6 linked regions of the Coturnix japonica genome follow. The protein of the gene in region 1 purifies or fractionates together with the protein of each later gene. This does not show direct contact. Links are inferred from orthologs where the notes say so. Each region holds a gene or a part of one and is shown in the gene's direction. Other genes may lie near its edges. The genes, in order: ARRDC1, NEDD4L, ZMYM2, HECW2, NEDD4 and YAP1.

What was found.
Region 2: the proteins of ARRDC1 (region 1) and NEDD4L purify together in Homo sapiens (affinity purification with mass spectrometry; 3 studies listed by BioGRID and IntAct, counting the BioPlex papers as one, with this or other methods). This does not show direct contact. The link is inferred for Coturnix japonica from reciprocal best matches to the Homo sapiens genes ARRDC1 and NEDD4L.
Region 3: the proteins of ARRDC1 (region 1) and ZMYM2 purify together in Homo sapiens (affinity purification with mass spectrometry; 3 studies listed by BioGRID and IntAct, counting the BioPlex papers as one, with this or other methods). This does not show direct contact. The link is inferred for Coturnix japonica from reciprocal best matches to the Homo sapiens genes ARRDC1 and ZMYM2.
Region 4: the proteins of ARRDC1 (region 1) and HECW2 purify together in Homo sapiens (affinity purification with mass spectrometry; 3 studies listed by BioGRID and IntAct, counting the BioPlex papers as one, with this or other methods). This does not show direct contact. The link is inferred for Coturnix japonica from reciprocal best matches to the Homo sapiens genes ARRDC1 and HECW2.
Region 5: the proteins of ARRDC1 (region 1) and NEDD4 purify together in Homo sapiens (affinity purification with mass spectrometry; 3 studies listed by BioGRID and IntAct, counting the BioPlex papers as one, with this or other methods). This does not show direct contact. The link is inferred for Coturnix japonica from reciprocal best matches to the Homo sapiens genes ARRDC1 and NEDD4.
Region 6: the proteins of ARRDC1 (region 1) and YAP1 purify together in Homo sapiens (affinity purification with mass spectrometry; 3 studies listed by BioGRID and IntAct, counting the BioPlex papers as one, with this or other methods). This does not show direct contact. The link is inferred for Coturnix japonica from reciprocal best matches to the Homo sapiens genes ARRDC1 and YAP1.

The regions. Positions count from the first base shown.
Region 1 is NC_029532.1:1,154,004-1,157,503, forward strand, and holds part of ARRDC1 (arrestin domain-containing protein 1), read left to right. Parts: intron 1-1,240; coding exon 1,241-1,351; intron 1,352-3,500. UniProt on the Homo sapiens protein: Functions as an adapter recruiting ubiquitin-protein ligases to their specific substrates. Through an ubiquitination-dependent mechanism plays for instance a role in the incorporation of SLC11A2 into extracellular vesicles.
Region 2 is NC_029547.1:657,234-660,146, forward strand, and holds the end of NEDD4L (E3 ubiquitin-protein ligase NEDD4-like), read left to right. Parts: intron 1-288; coding exon 289-361; intron 362-965; coding exon 966-1,068; 3' UTR 1,069-2,413; downstream 2,414-2,913. UniProt on the Homo sapiens protein: E3 ubiquitin-protein ligase that mediates the polyubiquitination of lysine and cysteine residues on target proteins and is thereby implicated in the regulation of various signaling pathways including autophagy, innate immunity or DNA repair.
Region 3 is NC_029516.1:160,216,143-160,219,642, reverse strand, and holds part of ZMYM2 (zinc finger MYM-type protein 2), read left to right. Parts: intron 1-152; 5' UTR 153-279; intron 280-1,578; 5' UTR 1,579-1,588; coding exon 1,589-2,435; intron 2,436-3,500. UniProt on the Homo sapiens protein: Involved in the negative regulation of transcription.
Region 4 is NC_029522.1:329,546-333,045, forward strand, and holds part of HECW2 (E3 ubiquitin-protein ligase HECW2), read left to right. Parts: intron 1-2,661; coding exon 2,662-2,773; 3' UTR 2,774-3,500. UniProt on the Homo sapiens protein: E3 ubiquitin-protein ligase that mediates ubiquitination of TP73. Acts to stabilize TP73 and enhance activation of transcription by TP73. Involved in the regulation of mitotic metaphase/anaphase transition.
Region 5 is NC_029525.1:6,718,155-6,722,454, forward strand, and holds the start of NEDD4 (E3 ubiquitin-protein ligase NEDD4), read left to right. Parts: upstream 1-1,500; 5' UTR 1,501-4,300. UniProt on the Homo sapiens protein: E3 ubiquitin-protein ligase which accepts ubiquitin from an E2 ubiquitin-conjugating enzyme in the form of a thioester and then directly transfers the ubiquitin to targeted substrates. Specifically ubiquitinates 'Lys-63' in target proteins.
Region 6 is NC_029516.1:163,478,071-163,482,341, reverse strand, and holds the start of YAP1 (transcriptional coactivator YAP1), read left to right. Parts: upstream 1-1,471; 5' UTR 1,472-1,743; coding exon 1,744-2,061; intron 2,062-4,271. Other genes in the region: CFAP300 (cilia- and flagella-associated protein 300), read left to right, coding at 584-709. UniProt on the Homo sapiens protein: Transcriptional regulator with dual roles as a coactivator and corepressor. Critical downstream regulatory target in the Hippo signaling pathway, crucial for organ size control and tumor suppression by restricting proliferation and promoting apoptosis.

The DNA.
Region 1 (3,500 bases):
ATTCCCTGGTGGATGGGTGGGGGGGGGGGGAAGGACTTGACACTGCTCTGTGGTGCAGGGGACCCATTCCAGCTCAGCACAGCCATGCTCTTTGCTTTGTCCCCAGCATCAGAAGTACTGGTGTGCCTCATAGACACAGGCAGAGCCAGTGCGTAGTGGTGCTTGATTAACACGAGTTGGCATCTGCCGCTGTTCATCCCTTGCCCTTGAGGATGAAGCAGTGCTTGGGTGCTCCAGGTCGTGGTCGGGCTGTGACTGGGTGAGCAGGGCTGTGGGTTGGCTGTTCCTCCTTTGGGACTGGAGACTTTGAGCCTCAAGCAGCCCGTTCAGTCCGGACTCATATGGCAAAACACAGTGAAGGGGACTGGGGTGTGAGCTCTGCATTCCCCCTGCAGAGTGGGCTGGGTTTGGGTTTCTTTCCACCTTGAGTTGGGCTGGCAGGGCAGGCACTGCACGGAGCGGTGTGGGGTGTATGTGAGCAGCATCACTTGCAGCTCAGTGCTTGGGAGGAAGGAGGTGGGGAGCGTGGAGCAGGAAGGCAGCCCTGAAGTGGGGCAGATTGGCTGCCTGCCTCCAGGGGAGAGGCTTCCTGTGAGATGCTGCTTGGACGCAGCAAGTGGGTGGGTGAATTGGGAGGAGAGCCTGTCTGGTGGCTTACCAGCAGGTCCAGCACGGGAGCTCTGTGGGATCTGTTAAAGTTGTTGCAAAACCTGGTGGGAATCAAGACAGGAGACATTCAGGCTGGAGCAAAGCACTGCAGATGCCTCTTGCTGTGTAACAAGCAGGGCAGACTCGGGGACGACTTACCCAAGGCAGGGCACAAACAGCTCCAATTCTGTGTTTGCTTTGGGAGAGTCAAATGGCATCTTAAATGCTTCTGGAGCTGGCTATGTGGCTTTGCTGTCAGTCCTGTATCTCTCACAGGAGGAGGAGGTGCTCTCTTGAAGTGGTCTCTGGCTGCTGAGAAGCACCGACACTCAGCAGCCCTGATGCTGAAGTCACTGCTGGGGCCTTTACAGTGAGCCAGCATGAGATCTTCCTGGTGCTGACAGCTGCAAGTAGCACTGGGGGAGCAGAGAGAGTGTGATAGTGCTGAGAGCAAGGGGAAAATGTGCTCTGGGCTGGAGCTGTGACCTGATTCCCCCACTCCCTTTTTTCACCCTGTGTGTTCATGAGGCTCTGTGCAATCATTGTGGCTTTGCTTTCTCCCTGACTTTTGCATGTTGTTTCTCATTAACAGCCATCAAGGTGAGCTGTGTTGGATTCTGTGGGGTGTCAAACAAGATCAATGACACTGCCTGGACCGTGGAGGAGCAGTACTTCAACACCACGCTGTCTCTGGCAGACAAAGGTGAGCTCCACAAGGGTTTGGTGGTGACCTGTGGGTGTGTGGATTCTTACTGGGAGGTGGCTGACTCTGATCTGCAGCAGTGCAGTGATGTGAAATGCCCCTTCATAGGCTGCTTTGACTTGTGCACAAAGTATATGAGCTGATATTGGAGGCAGCAGGAGCTGTGCAGAGTGGCATCCCAATCGGCTGCACAAATATGGGGTGTCCTCTGGCCCTGCTCTGCTTAGAGTGGGGCTGTCAGCAGCCACGTTGCTGCTGCTGGTGGACATCTGTGAGCACAGTGGTTGTGAAAGCCCTATGGCTTAATCTTACTCTGCTTTCCACGTGCTATCTATGGGAGTATCAAAACACTTATCAAAACTGGTCAGCTGAAGCTGGTGTCAGGCTGGGAGTGGTTGAACTACACTGGAAGGGGATATGGAGGTGTTGCTCAAGCTCCAGGAGAAGCACTGAAAGGGTGGCATGAGCAGCCTACGGCAGCTCCCAGTGCACAGCTGCCAGTCGAGGTGCCTGGAGATACAGCAGTGGGGCTGTGTTATCCTGTGGGTAAAGTGACACCAGTAGCCTCAGGGGAATCTGGGCTCGAATGAATGCTGTCGTTCTGCTATTAAATAGGTCAACCTTAGCATAAATAATTTGTGCTGTGCTCTGGCTCCTATCAGAACCAAGAGGTGCCTGTATTCACCTGCTGAGGGCAGTGGCTGTAGCAGGGATTGTAACGTGGCATTAGGCCAGGCTTGCAGTGCAGTCCTCTGATGCTGCACTGATCCTTTGATCTACTAACAGGAAATGGGTGAAGCTGAAGTGGCAGCTCCTGCCAGCTCAGCGATTTCTCAGGCAGAGCTTTTAGCATGGAGGGGAAACTGACCTCACTTGGAGATGATGCTGCTTGCTCAGGTCTCAGGAAGGGAGGTGGCTGGTTGGCTGCTCAGTTTGGCTTCTAGCCTAGGGGCTGCAGGAGGAGTCAGACTGCTTGGGAGGGCAATGAGAGATGGTCCTGCTTTTAGACATGGTAGTGATCACAGCCAGGGAGCTCAGCTGTGAATGCTGGGCTGGCAGAATCCTGGAGGCTTTGGAAGGGGCTACAGGCAATTCAGTGCTGGTGAGCTGGAGACTGTGAATAATAGCAGGCTCCTGGAGAAGCTTAAACTGCACTGACAATGAACTTCTACATGTTTTTCTAGTGTTAATGATTCATGAGGAAACTGTGCTACTGTAGATGGTTCTGTGCTGGTAAGGCTGTCACAGCAGAAGCCTTGGGATAGGAGTGGGTATAGGAGGGTTCTCAGCCTCTGGGAAATGCTGATGGCTGCTCCTGCAGTTGTTTATTGCAGGGTTGCAGCTCTCAACTGGAGCAAATGTAGACTATGAAGGACAAAGCTGTCCCTTAATGTAATACCTTTGAATGCTCAAATTCCAGAAAGCCTCCAAAACTGGTATTCCCAGCTCCTAAAGTTGTCACAGAAAGCGTTAATATTTTTGCTCTTGACTTTTCTGGAACCCAAGTTGTTGTGCACTGCTGAGTTTGTGTGTCAGTGTCAGTAGTGCAGGCAGCCTGGGCCGTGGGTGCAGTGAAGGGAAGATCTGCCCTGTAGGACCACCAAGCTTGGACCTGAGGTGTGTTGTGCTGTTACTGCCCTGTCTTGCAAAGATACATTGGAGTATTGGGTAAAAAGCAGGTTGCAGCTCTGAGGGCTGATTCAGGCAGACCATGAGGGAGGACCCCAGGTGTCCCCAAGGCCATGCAGTCACCACATGCCCAGCTCTGCTGTCCTTGGGGCTGCAGCAGCCCTGCTCCTGTGATGTGGAGCAGAGAGGGAAGCTCAGTGTGATAAAATGCCCGCATGATCTCTTCCCATGTTCTGAGTGGCAAAATAAATAAGAAGAAAAACAGCCTGTGCTCTTGAAGGACATTCTGGGGGAAGAGGTTTGCAAAACTATGGAGACTTGGAACACTCTCCAAGCGTTTGAGAGCATCTCTGCTCTTCTGCACCCACACACCTTGTTGCTCGACTATGAGTCTTATGTGGCATCATCTATCATTTGTTTTACAAACAACTTATTTTTTCTTAAAGGGTGTCTATTGCATGAGAGGAGACAGACCATGAAAATATCCTGTGCGCCCACTTAGCAGCACAAGGCACTATTT
Region 2 (2,913 bases), on another chromosome or scaffold:
AGGATCACAAAGCTCCAACCCTACTGCTGCATGCAGAGCTGCCAGCCTCCCCATTTAATACCAGCCCAGGCTGCCCAGGGCCCCATCCAACCTGGCCTTGAGCACATCCACATCCTCATTTGCTTTAATGTAATTTTGACCTCAGGGTGTTTGTACAAAGTACTTTGCACCAGTTGAAAATGGAAGTTACAACTAGGGTAAACATGCAGTTTTTAATACAGCAATTGAAGTGATTTCTGTAGGATCCATTAACTCAGGTTTTTCGTGGATTTTTTTTTTCCCAACTAGGTTCAAATGGTCCTCAGCTGTTTACAATAGAGCAATGGGGAACTCCTGATAAACTGCCCAGAGCTCACACATGGTAAGTCTGGGGTATGTGTGTGTGTGTGTGTGTGTGTGTTCAGCGCATCTGTGCATGAGTTTGTTTGAGTGCAGGTGGATCTGGTGTGTGTGTCACAGTGCGTGTGGGTCCTAAAAAGAATAGAAAATGTTATTTAATAGATAGAAAATCAGTGCAGGGACTGGGCAGGCAGACACACACTGAAACATGAGAAAGGTGATTTGGTTGGTGCTGGCTGATGGACGTGCATGCTGGCTGTGTGTGTACCCAGAGCTCATTCATCCTCATGCAGGTCTTCTGTTTTCCACCTTCTGTGTTACAGTTCTTTTCCTCTATAGGGGTGGTTATAAATGTAAACCTTCCTATTTTCAGAAGACAGCCTGCAGTTCCTGTAGACTCTTCTTGGCAGCAGCCAGGTTGGCCTCAGCTGGTCGCTGTGCCCATAGGGAGCAGCTGGCACTGGTTAGGTTTGCACAGTGCAACATCCAGACTGCCCCAGTCTTTCCAATTGGATAACACACTCCTGTCTCACACCCAAGTTATTCAGCCTTTTCTATTTCTTTGAAGAAAAATGCATTTGAAATGCGTCGAGTAATTCCATTTTCCTTTCCGTTCTCAATTTCAGCTTTAATCGCTTAGACTTACCTCTTTACGAATCCTTCGACGACCTGCGAGAGAAGCTCCTTATGGCGGTTGAAAATGCACAAGGGTTTGAAGGAGTGGATTAGGGCACTTCTTCCCACCTTTCGGCGCGTTCTGCTGCGCTTCCACTCCTCCACGAAGGACTCTGACTGTGGCAGAACCGTCTCACGGCGTTGGTTCCTGGAGCGACCTCTTGGACAACGCGGTGGCCTAAAATGCAGGATCTTGAACTCTGGCTTGTGGATGGCTTTTTTGACATTACCACGGCCAGTCACTATGGGGTTATATGTACTCTGACTACATTTCAGCAGGACTTACTGTATTTATGTCGTGCCTCTGTAGGCTGAGCCCTTAATAAAAATTTTACATAATTTCTAATGACAATGAATGGAATTAATCATTTTACAGGGATAGTATTACAACTCATGTTTACTTTTTAATTGATTTAGATGTTTTCAGATTTTATTTCATTACAATTAAATGTCATGTATTTGGGGAAAGCAAAAGAAAAACGAGCATTTTTCTTAATTTCGTACCAGATTTTATGCCAGTGTCATTTTTTTTCAAGCTCATTTTGAGCCTTGTGTTCCCAAACCATTATGAGAGTAGAAAACAGCTATGTTGGAATTCTTCTCTATATTGGCTGTATCAAGAGCACATAAATATTTTTCTGTATCCAGATGAGATATGGATTCTATGTTGCGTTTTTGTATAAATAATAGTTACGAGTCTGGGGATAGTCATAACATAGCATGCCAAATCTCATGTTCAATAAAGAAATTGCCTCATTATTCCTTGGTGATATTTACATGTACTGAAGAACATTTTGGGGGTAGGGTTGGCATTAATCATTTAGGAAAATATGCTTAACCCTGTCCTTATCTTTGTATAGTGGTTCTTTTATTATCCTTTCCTCTTTGCTGTGTGCAGTGGAGGCATTTTGAAGGAAACCTGGCACTGTGTGATTTGGCGCTATGGAAAAACAGATCTGTTTTGTCTCCTATTTGTGTGCATTTGCTAATGATATCTAAACACAATATTATTTTTTTTTGTTTCTAACTGCACCAACTCTAAAGGCACTTTATGTAACACATTGAAGTCATATCTGTGTTTTTTTTATCATAAACATTAATGTGATTATGTTCCTTCTCACTGCACATGTCTTTCTGGTGCAATATCTTATCAATTGTGAGTTTGGCTGCTGCTGATGTATAAAAGAGAAAACAAACAGCTGTAGAGCTGAGCCTGCAGACATGTTCCTCAGCAACTGTTTTTGTGATTTATTTTTTACTTAATCACAAAGATTTATTTAATATACACTGCTATCTATCTAATCAGTTTTGTTACCTATGACATGTTGCATGCTTAAACTATAATGTCTTGAGTTGCATCTCTTGTGTGATGGATTAAAAGTGAAAGATTTGTATTCGATCCACTGAACTTAAATGGTTACAGCACCACCGCAGGAGGTGTGAGGGTTTGGCTGCATAGCAGGCAGGGTTGGTTTTGCCCTTTGTGCAGGACTTTTCCCCGGGAGCCCACTTTGATGCTTTACAGAGCAAGTTGGTACAGCATGGAAGCAGAAGGTCACCTCTCTGCCCAGCAACCTCTGGCCTGCTGCTACACCACGGACCTTAGCAGGGCGATATCTTAGCTCAGAAGGCCGCTGGAAAGACGGCTTGATGCTAATAATGCTCAGCAAATGCTGTGTGCATGTCAGCAAAAGGGTTGAGGAGCTAACGGGTGCATGAAGGTGTTTCAGCATTTGAACACCAGACTTACCAATTCTTTTGACGTTCCGTTCTAACCTTTATGAGCATATACCCTTGAACAAGAGAAATAAGTACATCTGAGTAGGTGAACAAACACTACTGGTGATTTAGTGGGGGGAAAGACAGAGGATGGGGGTAAATCCACAACCTCCTTGGGTA
Region 3 (3,500 bases), on another chromosome or scaffold:
TGGGAGTAAACAGCACTTTGGCTGCATTACTAATGACAATGATGGTATAGACAAACATTTTCCCTATTACTGTAGGACAACTGAAGACATTTGAGCTGTTTTTAGGTATACTCCGTTTCAGGTATTTACTGTTTGTTTTTACACTGTTTCAGAACAGAACACGGCTTTTGCAGAAGGCAGCAAGTTGGTTCAAGAAGAGCAGGCCACACACAGGAAGAAAAATAAAAGGTCTTGGAGCAACTTACTAAGGTAAACAGATTGCAGTGGATTTCTGGATGGGTAAGTATTTATGAGAGGGATATTTCAACTTCCTTTAATAAAGAATTTATAAGAATGCACAGAAAGCTACTTGTAGCTTTTGATAAATGCTCAGTGATGTCACACGTCAGTGTGTACTCAGACATACCTTAATTTTAATGTTAACTGTGTATTTCCTGTTGTATGTATCAAGGTCAGCTTAATTCACTATTTTTTTAGTACAGGTATTCTTTACAGAAATTTTAATTCTCTTAACAGCAATCATATGCTCGTTTGAAATTGCAGAAGGTAAGAAGAGGTACAGAAGTTACATATTCTATTTGCTGCTTATCAGTGTTTAATTCACAATGATACAGTTACAAACAGGAGATTTGACCAAACTGAACTAAATGCAAACTGAAACCCACAAGCAAAGTAGCTGTTGTGAGGGAGCCTGAAGAAGCATTGCTTGCTGTTAGAGAGAAAAGAGATCAAAGCTGTTGAGAGCTGCAGGAACTTCATGTTGGGGAACATGAAGTAGTAAGTCAGGACCTCAGATGAGCCACATCTGATAATGGCAAGAAATGCAAAGTTGATGTGCACCTGTAATAATGTGTGTATTCTCAGTGCATGTGGCGATTCCATATCTCTTTTGCTTCTCTATCTCAGTTATATTGGGACCACATAAGGAGATTTGCCTTTGTGGGGGTGGGGGAACGTCAGCTAGACGAAAATGATGTGCATTGATACAGCTTCAGTCTATTTTTTTTTTTTAAATAAATCTGTTGATGTTGAAAGTTGGTAATGTTTCTAATAGCAATGGAATTTAATACGAATTCAGTTTTTTTATTATGGTGGTCTAAATCTTGACCTTGCTTTGCAGTCTAGCGAAAGAAGTCTTACGGGCTCATTGTATCTGTGGGTGGAGGGAGTCCCTCAGGAGTGGGATTGAGAAATGAAAATCTTGTAGTGAATACCAACAAAAATTCAGTTTCTGATGTGTTTTTGCTAAACACTGTTTTAGTGGGAAATGTTGTTATTCGCCCTTTCACTTCCTAGTAGAAGTTTAGAAACGAAGTGAATGTTAAGATATTCAAATAAGAAAACCATAGAGAAAATGTGTGGGTTTTCTTTGTGTATTAGCCAAGACAAGAAGAAAACCAAATAAAAACTAAGACTATAAATTCTGTAGTTGGGTGTTGGACCAGATGATCTTGAGAGGTCCCTTTCAACCAACTCTCTGGGAATCTGTGTAGTTATTTTTATGAGCTGTTACTGAAAAGTTATATCATACTCTGACATTTGGTTGTTGTTGTTGTTGCTTTGTTTTTCTCCAAACAGCAGGTCTGGAATGGACACAAGTTCTCTGGGAGGCTTAGAACTATCTGAACATACTCCTGACCTAGCAAATACCACCATGGCAGCAGGTCTTGCAAATGTAGGAAATACATTTGCTAGTCCACCAAGCTCCATAGTTTCTAGACCGGGTAAATTCCAGAACTCTACAGTAGATGATGATGATGATGTAGTTTTTATTGAACCTGTACAAACGCCACAAAATTCTACATCACTGATAGCAGAACAAAGAAACGCTGCGTTTGCATTGTCAAAAAATGACGAACTTCAAGGTGATGATTGCAAAATGCTTCCTCCTCCGAAAGACTTGAATTCTCAAAAGGGGAGTATAAGCGAAACTATTATTATTGATGATGAAGAAGATATTGAAACAAATCAAGGACAAGAGAAGAATGCTTCCAGTTTTAATGAGCGAAGACTTCCTGAGTGTAAAAACAGAGCCAACGATATGGATTTCTCAGCTTCCAGTTTTTCAAGAAGTAAGGTAAATTCAGGAATTGGTAGTAGTGGTATATCCACAGAACCAGACTCTGACATTCAGATTGCTAATGTAACTACATTAGAAACAGGTACTATGAGCTCTGTGAGTGATGGTCATGTAGAAAATGCTGAAGGGCGTGACATGAACTTAATGATTACTCATGTAACATCATTGCAGAATGCCAACTTGGGAGATGTATCTAACGGACTGCAGTCAAGTAATTTTGGTGTTAATATGCAAACATACACCCCATCTTTAACTTCACAGACCAAGACTGGTGTAGGACCTTTCAATCCTGGTAGAATGAATGTGGCTGGAGATGTATTTCAAAATGGAGAATCTGTGACTCATCATAATCCTGGTAAGTTAGAATTCTGACCATTACCTTAAAGTAGTTTGATAATTTTTTTGGGGTCAGTTGAACTGCAGTAGTTTATAAGTTTAATTCTTATAAAAGATCTTGATTCTCTTGATCCTTATCACAACTTTATCTACAACTCTAGAAAAAAAATTCTTCAATGACTTGATGTCTTGTGTAGGTAAAGTATCCCAGGTCACAGAATCACAGATTGTGCAGTAATGCTTCAGGTGTTTTCAGATATAAATATTTCTGTCTAAAGAGCGAAGTTTCATTTATGGCTTGAGTGTACTTCTTTATTCACTCAAAGAATGGTGAATCACAGAATCAAAGCTGGAAAAGACCTCTTAATTCATACAGTCTGAATGAATAAAAACTGAATTGGATGATTTGATTGTTAGTCAGAAGTAGTTAGTATGCAATGTATTGTGACATTTGATCAATTCTCAGTGTTTACGGTGCTTAACAAAGTGGGTTTAACTTGTAGGCTCAACTTCCTGCACTCAGTTACACGCACTATAATTGCTATCTTGTTACCTGTGACTACATGAAATTGTATTTTACAGTATTATGTTTAAATTCAAGGAATCATAGAATGACTTGGGTTGGAAGGGACCTCAAGGATCATCAAGTTCCAGCCTCCTTGCCACAGGAAGGGCTACTAGATCAAGTACTACATCAGATTGCGCAGGGCCCCTTCCAGTCTGGTCTTGAACACATTCTGGGACAGGGTGTTCACAACCCCTCTGAGCTACCTATTCCAGCACCTCCCCACTCCCTCAGTAAAGAGTTTCCCTGACACCTAATCTAAACCTCCCTCCCTTTAAAACCATTCCCCATTGTCTTATCCCTATCTACCTATGTAAAAAGCCTATTTCCCTCATATTTATAAACTCCCTTTAAATATTGGAAGGCCACAATGAAATCTCCCTGCAGCCTTCACTTTTCCAGGCTGAACAAGGGCAGTTCCTTCAGCCTGTTATCTTAGAGGTGCTCTTGGTCTTGAATGATCCTCATGGCCCTCCTCTGGACCCTCTCCAACAGCTCCATACCCTTCCTGTGTTTGGG
Region 4 (3,500 bases), on another chromosome or scaffold:
TCAGAGACTTAGCGTGCAAACACCAAGTAGTACTGGCTAGGAGGTAAGACATTGTTAAGAGTGACCCTGAATAGCAAACTTTGAAGAGGTTTCCAAAAAAGCCCTGTCTGTAAACACTACTGGATCTGTGAGGTGTATCAGGTTCGCAGAATCTCAGGGTTTGCAAGAGTTCATTGAGCCCAACCCCCTTCTAAACCAGGTACCCTACAGTTGGTTGCATGTGTAGGCATCCAGCCAGATCTTGAATATCTTCATAGAGGGAGACTACACAACCTCCCTGGGCAGCCTGTTCCAGTGCTCCATCACCCTTACTGTAGAGCTCTTCCACATGTTAATATGGAACTTACTGTATTTTAGGCCATTACTCCTTGTCCTATCACTGCGTATTACCAGGAAGTGCCTGGCCTCATCCGTTTGCCTCCCACCTCCGTTTAGATATTTATGAACATTTATCAGATCCTTTCTCAGTCTTCTTTTCCCCAGGCTGAACACACACAGGTTACTCAGCCTTTCCTCACAGGGGAGGTGCTCCAGGCCCTCTGTCATCTTCATCCCTAAGTTACACACACAGGCTGGGCTTGAGAGCAGCCTTGAGGAGAAGGATTTGGGAGTGTCAGTTGATGAAAGATTCTGCATAAGCCGGCAATGTGCTTGTAACCCAGAAAGCCAGCTGTATGCTGGGTTGCATCAAGACAAGCATGACCCTGTACTGTGAGGGCACTGGCACAGGTTGCCTAGTGAGGTTGTGAGTGCCCCCACCCTGGAGGCACTCAAGGCCAGGCTGGATGGGGCTGTGAGCAACCTGGTCTAGAGGGAGTTGTTCCTGCCTGTAGCAGGAGGGTTGGAACCAGATGATCTTAAAGGTCCTTTCCAACCCAAACCATTCTATGATTTTGTGTTTTTGCTACTGTAATACTGTTCAAATTACAATGAAGTGAAGCTTAACTGGAAATCTGGACTTCAGGAACCAAGTTATTTTTCATGTTGTCCTCAAATGTGAGTCCAGGAACATGGAAGTCTTGTTTCCACACGGTTTGAGATGATGGAGTGGGAAAATGTTGTCCAGGGGAACAAAGAAAAACAACAAACAACCTTTCTTCCTGAAGCCTTAAGAAGTTTCTCGTAAGGGTGAGAAAGAGATTCCCACAATAGACCAAGATCTTAAGTTTTTGTCTTTTTTAATGACTTGGTTTTCCAAAGTAGGTGATGATGTTCTCAAAATTGCCCTCAAAATTAAGATAAAACTCAATTCTCTTAATAAACGTAAATGATATGCCAAATTGCTATTAAGCCTTTGCTAATTATATGCTATGTCTTTCACAACTTGTGGTTTTACAGCCCACACAGCATGATCCATACTTCTAATGAGTGGTTTCCAGCCCAATGCAGCAGAAGCATGCGGTTAAGCTGCAAATTGCATGAGACTCTGCCATAGTTTACTGTGATTGCTAAGCCATTCCAGACACCTTGCTCCAATTGTCCATTTGCTGCCAGGTCTAAATCAGCCTCTTTCTTCTAAGTGGAAACTTCTATAGAAAAAGAAAAATACACTGTTACTTTGGTTTTGGAAAGGCAAAACAGAAAAGCAAAGAAAGCTTTCTTCCAAGAGCCTTAGTGAGGTGGCAGAGTGAAGAAGTTTTTACTGAGCTGCTGGAGCTCATGCTGGGGAAATGTAGGCTTTGGTAATAAAGCTTCAAAGTGGAGAAGATACCTCTTCCAGCTTGTCTTCCCAACATTTTTTCTCAAGAACTCATCAGGTTAATAGTTCTATCTATTTCACTAGATCTGTTTCACTGTTGTATTTTAGTAAGTATTATTCTTGGCGTGCCCTGGGGGTCAGGCCACACTACCCATTATTCCACTAAGAGAAGAAAGATGCATTACTTCCCTTTTTATTCCTTGGAAGGGGTCTCAAGATTTAGTTCAAAGGTGGACTTTGGAATCTGAGCAAGAAACCAACCATGTGATTTTTCTCTTAAGAAGGCACAGTGGTGTTTTATAGCTACTTGCATAGTTCTGTGTAATTACAAACAGTAAATCTAAAGGTCATTGACTTGCTGGGTTGAATACACTGATAGTGCTCGTGCTTATTTACAACAACTTCTCAGAAACACGATCAATGCTGAGGAATCATGCAAGGAAAAGCATTCGATTTGTCTGTCCTTAATTACCACGCGATTGTTTCCTTGAAATACTTAGCATATCATTTAATGTTTCATCAAATCTAGTACCTTGTGCATATTCATCATCCTGCGATGGATTACAAATACCGTATTCAGGTATCATCCATATAAAAAAAAAACAAACAACACAACTTCTAAGATAGATTGAAAACTAATGTTTCATAGTAGACTACTTGAATTGTATTACGTTACAGCATTCTTGTCCTGTGCACGTTTAACGGGTAAAATTTATCACATGTCTTTTGAGCTGTAAGTATGTTTCTGAATGCCTTAATGAATGCATCTTACTGGCTTGTTATAATCAGAAAAATGTACATTAAACCTCACTACTTGTTTGGTTGGAAAACATCATTTGAGAGAGCAAGATCTTCTGAAAGAACACTGTTTGGCCATTTATATGCGAGTGCATATCAGTCTACCTAATTTCTTTTGACCTTTTAGAATAATATACTTCTTTACCTCCTCTTTGTTCCCTCAGGGCTCACACTTGTTTCAATCGTCTGGACCTTCCCCCATATCCATCGTTCTCTATGCTGTATGAAAAACTGTTGACAGCAGTAGAAGAGACGAGTACTTTTGGACTTGAGTGATACACAAACCACAGTGCCCTGCTCTATGAACTTTTGTGGATCTGACTTCTCAAAGAACGAATGAACATTTGTACCGGATTTCAGATTGCCATTCCGATAATGAGGTTCCGTGAAAGAGCTTATGAAGCAATTAAAAAGCATTGTGATAGTGGCAGAATTCTCTACAGTGAATCTGGAGCGTGGCTGAAGTGTAGGGAAAACCAAGTCCTGCAATCCCTGCTTTTTCAGGATGATCAGACTTCCTATGTTTTGTTGTGAGGAAACAAGAAATGTGCGATCCCATGTTGAGGTCAGCCTGGCTACTGCAAAACTGACATGAGTCTGAAAACTGGATTTCACCAAAGTCGATGAATAGAAAATTCAAGTCAAAATGTGAAATCATTCAGGCCCCACCTACACAGTAAATCAGTGAAAAATCATACAATATACTTTTTGTTCTTTTTTTTTTGTTTTTTTTTTTCTTTTGTATATTCATGAAGGTACATTACTTAATGCCATGTGTTATAACAGCATATCCAGCACTTGATAAACCTAAGACTACGAGTGCCTGCTTGGGGTGCACCATAGAGTTCAAGTTCCTGGGGCAGAAGTGAATTGGAAGGAAAGTCAGCAAAGGATGCAACAACAATGGCTTGCATTAAGGAGGTTTGTGAAAATATGTTTGCCAGTGGTGTGTATGACAAAAGATGAGCTGTTATAATGAACTGAGAAACTTAATTGGACTGAT
Region 5 (4,300 bases), on another chromosome or scaffold:
CAGTACATCTGTTATTTTCAAGACTGAAAATTTTACTGTAGCACAAATACAAATCTTACCTTCTTTGTTCTATTAATGCACAAAAACTTGGGCATGAATTTATCAGCCAGTTTTGGGATGGCAAGATTTTGGCTAATTGGTGCCAATCGGTGGTGTTGCATAATGAACATAGTATTATTTAGATTTTAGGAACAAAATGTAGATTCGATGTTTAATTTTGGTCTTATTTGTCCAACAAGCGCACAGTCAGAATATGCACTGTATTGTTGAGCGTTTCAGGAACTGGGAGGTCCCAGTTTTGTAAGCGACTGCTGAAGAACTCTTGAGTTCTGAATTTGGAATGTGAGAAAACTGCTTTTGTGTAGCATGCCCAAGTGATGATGAATTTCCCTCCTCTTATAAACAACCCAGATCTTGAATAATGAGGAAATTGTGACCTTATATAAAGTAACATCAGTTTAAAGTATCATCAGTTTCCAGTCAGAGCTTTTCTGCAACATAAAAAAATGCTGTACTCTTGGATATCTTTATATGTATGGTTAGTTCTAGAAAGCAATTTTTTTTTTTATTCCCATCTGATAAACTTATTAGATGGACTGCTTGGTCTTGTGCCATTGGTGTTATTTTAATTCTTCTCACTTTCCTTGTTCTCTTTCAAGCATTACTATTGCTTTCTCTTTTTTCTTATTGCTTAGAAGCTATATCTTCTCATCCTTCTCTTTTATCAGTGCTATGTAAGGAGGAAGAAGAAGGTCATTTTCTTGCATTTGTTTGCTATACCTTTTTATAATAATTTTTTGACTGATAATTGTTTTAATTTTTTCTTGCTGTGGCTTTGTCCAAGACCTCTAGTTTGGCTGATAAAGATAGACCATTGGTTTAAAATCTTCCATAGAAGTACAGTGTGTGGTTCACTAGTTTGCCATCCCTAAACTTAATCCTAAATATTTTTAGGTTATGCATCTCAATGTTAGAAAATACGTTTTGGTCCTTTTAGACCTCTAGTTAAACCAATTTGCTCTGAGCCACTGTTATTGGAAGAAAACAATTTTAATCTGGATGTCAGCATCATTTAGTTTTTGCTTTGATATACGTAAAAGCAATGATACATTTTTGAACTCTCATACCAAGTTCTGTGAGAAACAGCCATTTTAATTTTGACTTTTTATTATTCTCCCTGTGCTTATACAGAAGGAAAGAAGTATCTCATTTGTCTTAATGACACAACCAGTGGAATTCAGCAGATATTTTAACTACTCTCATCTTTCTTTTTCCTAGGTTAATCCTCAGAAACACAGACTCCTTTTTGAAGTGTTTGATGAAAACCGTTTGGTAGGTCCTTTTCTATTAATATTGCAATTTAATAAAGGCTTCAGTGAAAATAACTTGATCTGGATTCAATGTTCAAAATTAAAATAATAATAATAATAATAATAATAATAATAATAATAATAATAATAATAATAATAATAATAATAATAATAATAATAATAAACTGGAAAAAACAAAAAGAACAACCCAAAGGAAGACCTGATTTGTTTACTTTTCTGCCACTACCACACTTAGATGTTCTGAAGTAATGAGGCCTTAACTCTGAACTTCTAACGTGCTTAACTCAGAAGCATTTTTTCTTACATTGCTTCTCCAGTGCTATGACCAAGTGACACTGAAAGCTCTCTACTGAATGCTTATTTTTCTTACAAAGCAGCATTGACAGTGTAGATGTTTGTATTCATGGGGGCATTTTTTTCAATAGCATGAAGGAGCAGTGGGACAGAAATGTGTTTCTTTGTCAACAGGCAGACACTGGAGTGTTACTTTGTTATTCACTGAATGAGTTATCGTAAATAAAGTGGGGATAGCTTGTGCATTTGTGTCCTTGGTGAAATTCTAACTCCTGACCATGTTCTTGTTTCCTACATGAGGAGTCTTCCTTTTTTATTCTGCCCATATGCTCAATTGTAAATTACAGAGGCTAACATTTGTGTTGTAAGCCAGTTTAACAGACATTCTATCTCAGTGGAATATATACCTTTCCAATTAAGTTCTACTGAAGTAGAGACTTGAGTGGTCTCTAGCTTGCACTTCAGACACTTTTTTGCTCTGTTAGCCATTTTGAAGAATATCAATGCCTGAGGAATGTGTTAGCAGCAAAAACCCTTTCATTTTTTCCTAATGCTGTCTGGATTGTCAATAATCTGTTGTACCTTTTATGCTAATGGTTGAAAGAATGGAAATGCCTGCAAATCGAATTCTGATTTCTTTTGAATAATTACGTCTAAGAATGGAGAGCTTTATTTCTTGGTTGTAGCCATCACACAATAACAAAGTCATTTTATTGCTGGCTGGTGGTGGTTCTTGTCCCAGATATTTCAAATATTTAAAGCAGAAACTTTAAATGGAATCACCAGAACTTGTGGTTGACGTGTCAGGATGCTCAGAAGTTAGTCTCAGAATGCTGTTAAGGGCTGCAGCGCAGGCTTGAAGTACAGTCCATAGTCTTTGGAACCGCACTGCCACCAGGTGGAAGTCAGGAGGCATGACTAGAAAATCTGAGGCCCAAATTAAGGGGAAAAAAGCAGAGTTTGGTTTCCACCAAGGGAATTCCTTGTTGTTCATTCTCTAAGAGAAAGTAGATGAGTTGTTTGACCTCTTTGCTTGTGGGAAAGGAATCAACAAGACATCTTACTGGCATCGGTGTGAAACTATGCTTTGTTTCCTTTATGTGACTGAGTTTGGAGACCAAAGCAGCATGACCTAATCACTCACTATGTAGTTCTGTGATAACATGTTTTTACATCTTTCCTATCTCCTCATTCAGTCAGTGGAAAACGCTGTCTTCCTATTTCTACATAGTTTGCTTTCTGTTAAATGAACACTAAATTTCCATCCCATGTGTCTTGAACTACTTCAGTTGGTCAAATCATTACTTTTGCTGTGGTTCTTGGGAGACTGACAGTCTTGTTCACTTCTGTTGTCTTCTCATGTCAAAAAATCATGGATGCCTCATGATTTTTCACAAGGATATGCACGCAGCTGTGCTCAAAAGGTGTTTCATCTTCGGTGATTATAGTGGGCTTGTATGGCAATCAGTCATTCTTTGTTCTGCCTGCTGGCCAACTGTTTAAAATGTAGATGTGAGTAAGTTGATAACACTGACATTCTCTTACAGTTGTGGGACTGTCTTCATCTTTGTAGAGTTCTGTCCCACGTGTTTTAATTCCCATTAAATTCTGAAGAGAAATTGAAAGCTTGAAATTTCTTCTTGTTTTTAAGTAATGTTGCTTTCCTGAAAACTTGGTTCAAAAATCCTCTTCAAAGTTTGGCATAAATTGGAAGTCCTGCAGGACTGGCTTTATCACCAATACGTCTTAATGACAAGAGTATATGCAGTAAAATTGTTGCAGGTTTTTGTTGCATATGAAACTGACATGTTAGGAACTGTGCTACTGATAGGTGTATTGTTGGGACAGATAGGTTCTTGAAGAACTGCATTGTTTCCTCTTCATTCGCATGGTTAAGGGTGTGTGCTTTTTAAAATATACTGCTTGTAGTTCAACTGTAACTCTTTTAAAACCATGACCAAAAAAGCTTTTATGGTATTTTACTTTTCTTCCTGCTCCAACACGTAACATTAGAAGAAATCCAGCTGGTGAAGCATAATGGAATAGACGAACTATTGTATTTGTTGGCTTTTATGAATAAGGTAGTATTCATTTACTGCTGCATTCTAATCATGGAATTCAGGTAATGGAGTTTAAGTAAGCCCTGGAGTATAATTAGAAAACAAATTTGTTGCTTGCAAATAGAGTTCTGTGAATTGGATTCTTGGCTCTTATTTGGGAAGGAGGTTTAAATGTTAATTTTATTACCTTCTAGCTTAAAATACAGCAAAGGTTAAATAAATATGGAGCAGAAAAAAATCTAGTAGTGTGACCTATAAAAGTATAAATGGCCTAGTGTTCTTCTCTGTTTGCGCTTTTTCAGCAGCACTAAGTAATTTCATGCTAGTCTGGTACCTTTTTGTACTGTATGTATGTATTTATACTGTACATATGGCTTCTGTATTCATAAGTACATTCGTATCAAATATGTTTCAAAAAAAAGAAAAGAAAAATAAAACCCACACAAAAAAGAAAAAGAAATATTGAAAGGCAAGATTGCCTTTTTTCAGAAGTCCCACTAGATGCCAGCAAAGGACCTTTCCAGATGATGAGACAGCGAAATGTTTGTAAGATCTCTCAATCCTGTTATTCTTTCAAGAGATGACAGTGTATTAGTTGCTTTCTATGCTCTTCAT
Region 6 (4,271 bases), on another chromosome or scaffold:
CCAAACAAGGTGTTGGGGAGCGGGAGGGAACCACACTGGGAATTCAGAGACAGGATGTGCGAGCTACGGATCTCCTGATCTTTTGGATGCTCGAATTCCGGATTGAATACATCGAAACCCAACCGACAGAAAGAAAAGCAGCCTCCAAACAATCCCCTCAGGCTCCTGTGCTGTGCCGGGCGTTCTGCTGGGGCAGGCCGGGCAGCAGCGGGTGCTGAGCTGAGCTGAGCCCACCGCGCTGCCGGCAGCTGGGGGCGGCCTGCCAGGAGCGGGTTGGGGCGGGGCGTCCATTCTCCTCGCATATTTGTGAGCAGTGGCACAAACTGCCTTCGGTAACAGCTCAGCGCTGCTCGGAGCGCTCCGGAGGGGTTTTCCTTAAACGCCGAGTGAAAAAGAAGCGTTGTTAGAAGGACTTTATGTGTTAATATGCAGCCCGTACCTATTTTATTTGTGTTTTAATGGGACGTGATGGGATCTTTGAGTATTTAATCAGCTGGATTTCAGGCTCCAATCGTGTAATCCTACGCACTGTCCGCTCGGGACACACTCCGCACTAACGCTGCCTCTTTTTCCTTCCCGTCAGGACGGCAGCGGCCTGTGTTACCCATCGCGCTCAGCCCACGCTCAGACCTTCTCGTATCTGCTGCTGGACCCGGCCCGGCGCCACGTGCACACGTTGTACCACCGCTTCGGGGGCGGCGCGCCCTGAGCTCGGCGGGCCGGGCGGGGGCTGCGCGGTGCGGGGCGGTGGGACGGTGGGTACGGAAAGATGTGTGTAACGCCCGTCACACACCCCGTCTTTGGTGCTGTTCTCACGGGGTTGGACTATTCTGATTCTCACGGGGTTGGACTATTGTGATTCTTCTTTTTTTTCCCCAGTTTTGACCCTCCTGATGCTGTTTTCACGAGTTTCGGCCCATTTAATAAAAGTAACTCCTCCAGATGTGTCTGTGCTCGTCCCTTCCCGCTGCTCGGCCGCTGTCCCACCGCCAGGTGAGGCCGAGGCCCGGCTCCCCGCCGCCTCGGTCCCGCGGGCGGGTCGTGCCCCCTCCCGGCCTTCCCCCCCCACGTCTCCCCGAGGGGGGCTGCCCCCTTCCGGGGCGGCGGGGGAGGGGAGGGGAGCGCCGCAGCTCTTCCCAGCTCTTCCCCACCCCCTCGGCGGGAGCCTGAAGTTGGGAAGAGAAGTTGGGGAAAATAAAAGTTGTGGTTGGCGGCGCGGCTCCGCGGCCGGGCGGGCGGCACAAAAGGGACACGGGCGGGACGGAGCGCGGAGCGGAGCGCTGGGCCGGCGGGACGGGCCGAGCCGTGAGGAGACCGAGGGGCCGCTGTGGGGGCCGGGCCGCTCCCTGCGCTTCGGGGCGCCCGGTGGGCGGGAGGCGGTGCGGGCGGGCGCGAGCAGGAGCCGCGAGGAGCTGGGCCGTGTCGGTCGGATACGGTGCGGGCGGGCTCAGGAGGGGCGGAGCCGGCCGCAGAGTGATTCGGGCGGGCGTAACTGCGAACTTTTGTTTGGAGTGTTGTGCGAGTTAGTTTCCGCCGCCGGGACGGAGGCGCCGGCCGGGCTGGGCCGGGCTCGGGGCAGCGCCGCGCGGCCGGAACCGTTTCGGGCCGTCCCCGCCGAGGGGTAGGAAGCGCCGGGGGAACCGAGGGGACGAGCCGCGGCGCGGGGCATGCGGGGCCGGCCCTGAGCGCTCTGAGCCGCCGCCAGCCCCGCGAGGAAGCGCCGGGGGGGTCCCGCAGCCAGACATGGATCCCGGGCAGCCTCAGCCGCAACAGCCGCCGCAGGCGGCGCAGCCCCCGGCCCCGCAGCAGGCGGCCCCGCAGCCCCCGGGCAACGTGTCGGGAGCTCCGGGAGGCGCCGCGCAGCAGCCGGGCGCGGGGCCCCCTCCGGCGGGGCACCAGATCGTCCATGTGCGGGGCGACTCCGAGACCGACCTGGAGGCTCTTTTCAACGCCGTGATGAACCCCAAGGGCGCCAACGTGCCGCACACGCTGCCCATGCGGCTCCGCAAGCTGCCCGACTCCTTCTTCAAGCCGCCCGAGCCCAAGGCTCACTCCCGCCAGGTGAGGGGGGGCGGCCCGGCCCGGCGCTGAGCCGCGATCTCCGATCTCCCTCCTTCCCTCCTTCCCTCCCTCGCTCCCTCCCTCCTTCCCTCCCTCCGCGCCGCCGCCGGGCTCCTCCCGGGGGAGGTGTGCGCTGGGGGTGGGGGTTGGGGGGGAAGGGGCCGGGGCGGGAATCCGCCCTCGGTGCGGGCGGGGGGCGCGGGGCCGGGAGCGCGCTGCCTTCCTCCGCCTCCTCCTCCTCCTCCTCCTCCTCTCCCCGCTCCTCCCGCCACTCCGAGGGGCCGCCGTCCTGGCCCGGGCTCCGGGCGGCCCTCGGGCTCCACATCCGCTCCGTGGCCCGGCCGGGAGGAAAGGCGAGGAGAGGCCTCGGAGCGGTGCGGGGAGCGCCGGGACTGAGGGTTCCGATCGGCGCTGCGGGACGGTCCGCCGCTGGGGGAACGGCGGCGGGCGGTGCCAAACTTTTTCTGTCTTTTTTTTTCCCCCCCGCAATATGGATGTGGCTCTTCCACCATTTCATGTCCGCAATGCGCCGGGTCGGCTCCGTCCGCGGAGCTCCCTCGTGTCCCGGGCTGAGGGCAGCGGGCTCCGCCGCCGTTCCCCGACGGGAAGGGGCCGCGTCGCTCAGGTGTCACTACGAACTAACGAGCTTCACGTTGAGCTGCACAGTCGGTTTTGTTATGGGCCGCCTCCGCTCAATCTGTGCAGCCGGAGCGAAACTCGCTCCGTGTCGCAGCGGCCGCTTCGTGAAGGCCCTCGGCTCCCAGGGCTCTGCGCCGTGCGGAACCCTGGCACGAGTTAATTCATTGCCCACGTACTCGAAAGGCTGCCCAGCCTTTACGGCGTGAGACTGGAGAGAGAATAGCAGGGGTGGGGCTCAGCTGCTCCTATGGTTTTTTGCCTCGCTTCTGAGCTGCAGACTTGTTAATTGCACTTTGAATCCAACCCAATTAATGGGGTTCCTTCGGATCGCTCCCCTTGGTGTGAGTTGTATCTCAGTTTGGTTACACAGAAGTGTGGGCTGCACATGCTCAGCTGCTTCTTGTTGCTGTGTCTTGGCAAACACAGTATCTATGTGCAGTTAAACAAGTTCAGCATGCATTTAATTTTCATGCAACTGTTGCACTTTTGGTGTTCCCTCGCAGTGACCTGTTGCTCCACATCCTCTGTGTGTGCTCCTTCCTTGGGTTCTCATCCCACCCAGGAGCTCCTACAGTGCAGCCTTGATGTTCAGCTGGAGGCAGAGAACCATTGCTCTGTTGTTCACTATCGTTTTTTTTACAGTGCCGACAATAGCAGGACACGGGGAAATGGTTTTAAGTTGAAAGAGGGAAGATTTAGGTTGGATGTTAGGGGGAAGTTGTTCACTAGGAGAGTGGTTAGGCCCTGGAACAGGCTGCCCATCGAGGTTGTGGATGCCCCGTCCTTGGAGGTGTTCAAGGCCAGGTTGGACGGGGCCCTGGGCAACCTGATCTAGTAAATGTGTATGTTTGGTGGCCCTGCTAGGCAGGGGGGTTGGAACTACATGATGCTTGAGGTCCCTTCCAACCCAGGTCATTCTGTGATTCTGTGATTTTCGTAGTTCCCATTTGTTCATTTGTGACATAAAATGTCAGTCAGGAAAGGACGTCTGTATTTCTCTGTTTCAAAAATCAAAGCTCCTCAGAGTCCATTCAGTTGCTCCTCGTACACTGCTTAAATGTAAAAGTAAGCCTCCTCGGTTCCAGTTTAATAAATGACATGTTCACATATAGTTGTAGCAAAATGTCCCCATAGGAGCATATAAGTGGGGCCTTGTATGGTGCAATACCTGCATGGAGAGGCGTGGCTGGACTGATACGTGCATCTCAGTGCACGTGGCCATGTCGTTCTGGGGTATCTATGAGATGATTAATTTTTTTGGTACGTTTACCATTTACCAAAAGGTTTTTAACCCAATTTTCAGCTCTGCTTTGTCTTTTTGGCTTTGGACGTCTATTTCCTACTGCCAAAGAAGCTCTCGTACTTCAGTCTGGCAGCTCTGTGAATGGTCTCTGAGTCACTTCTGATTGACTGGTCAAACAGTTTGCGGAAGCTTTCTTTAGATAAAGCGCTGGCAGGCTCTTTGTGAGTGCCCTTAAAGAGCAGTTGGGCTGCAGGTTGGGAAACTCTGTGCTCAGCCTTTTGTAGCTCTGATGGTTGAGTCCAGGAGTTCTCCCTCTCTTGGAGCTCAT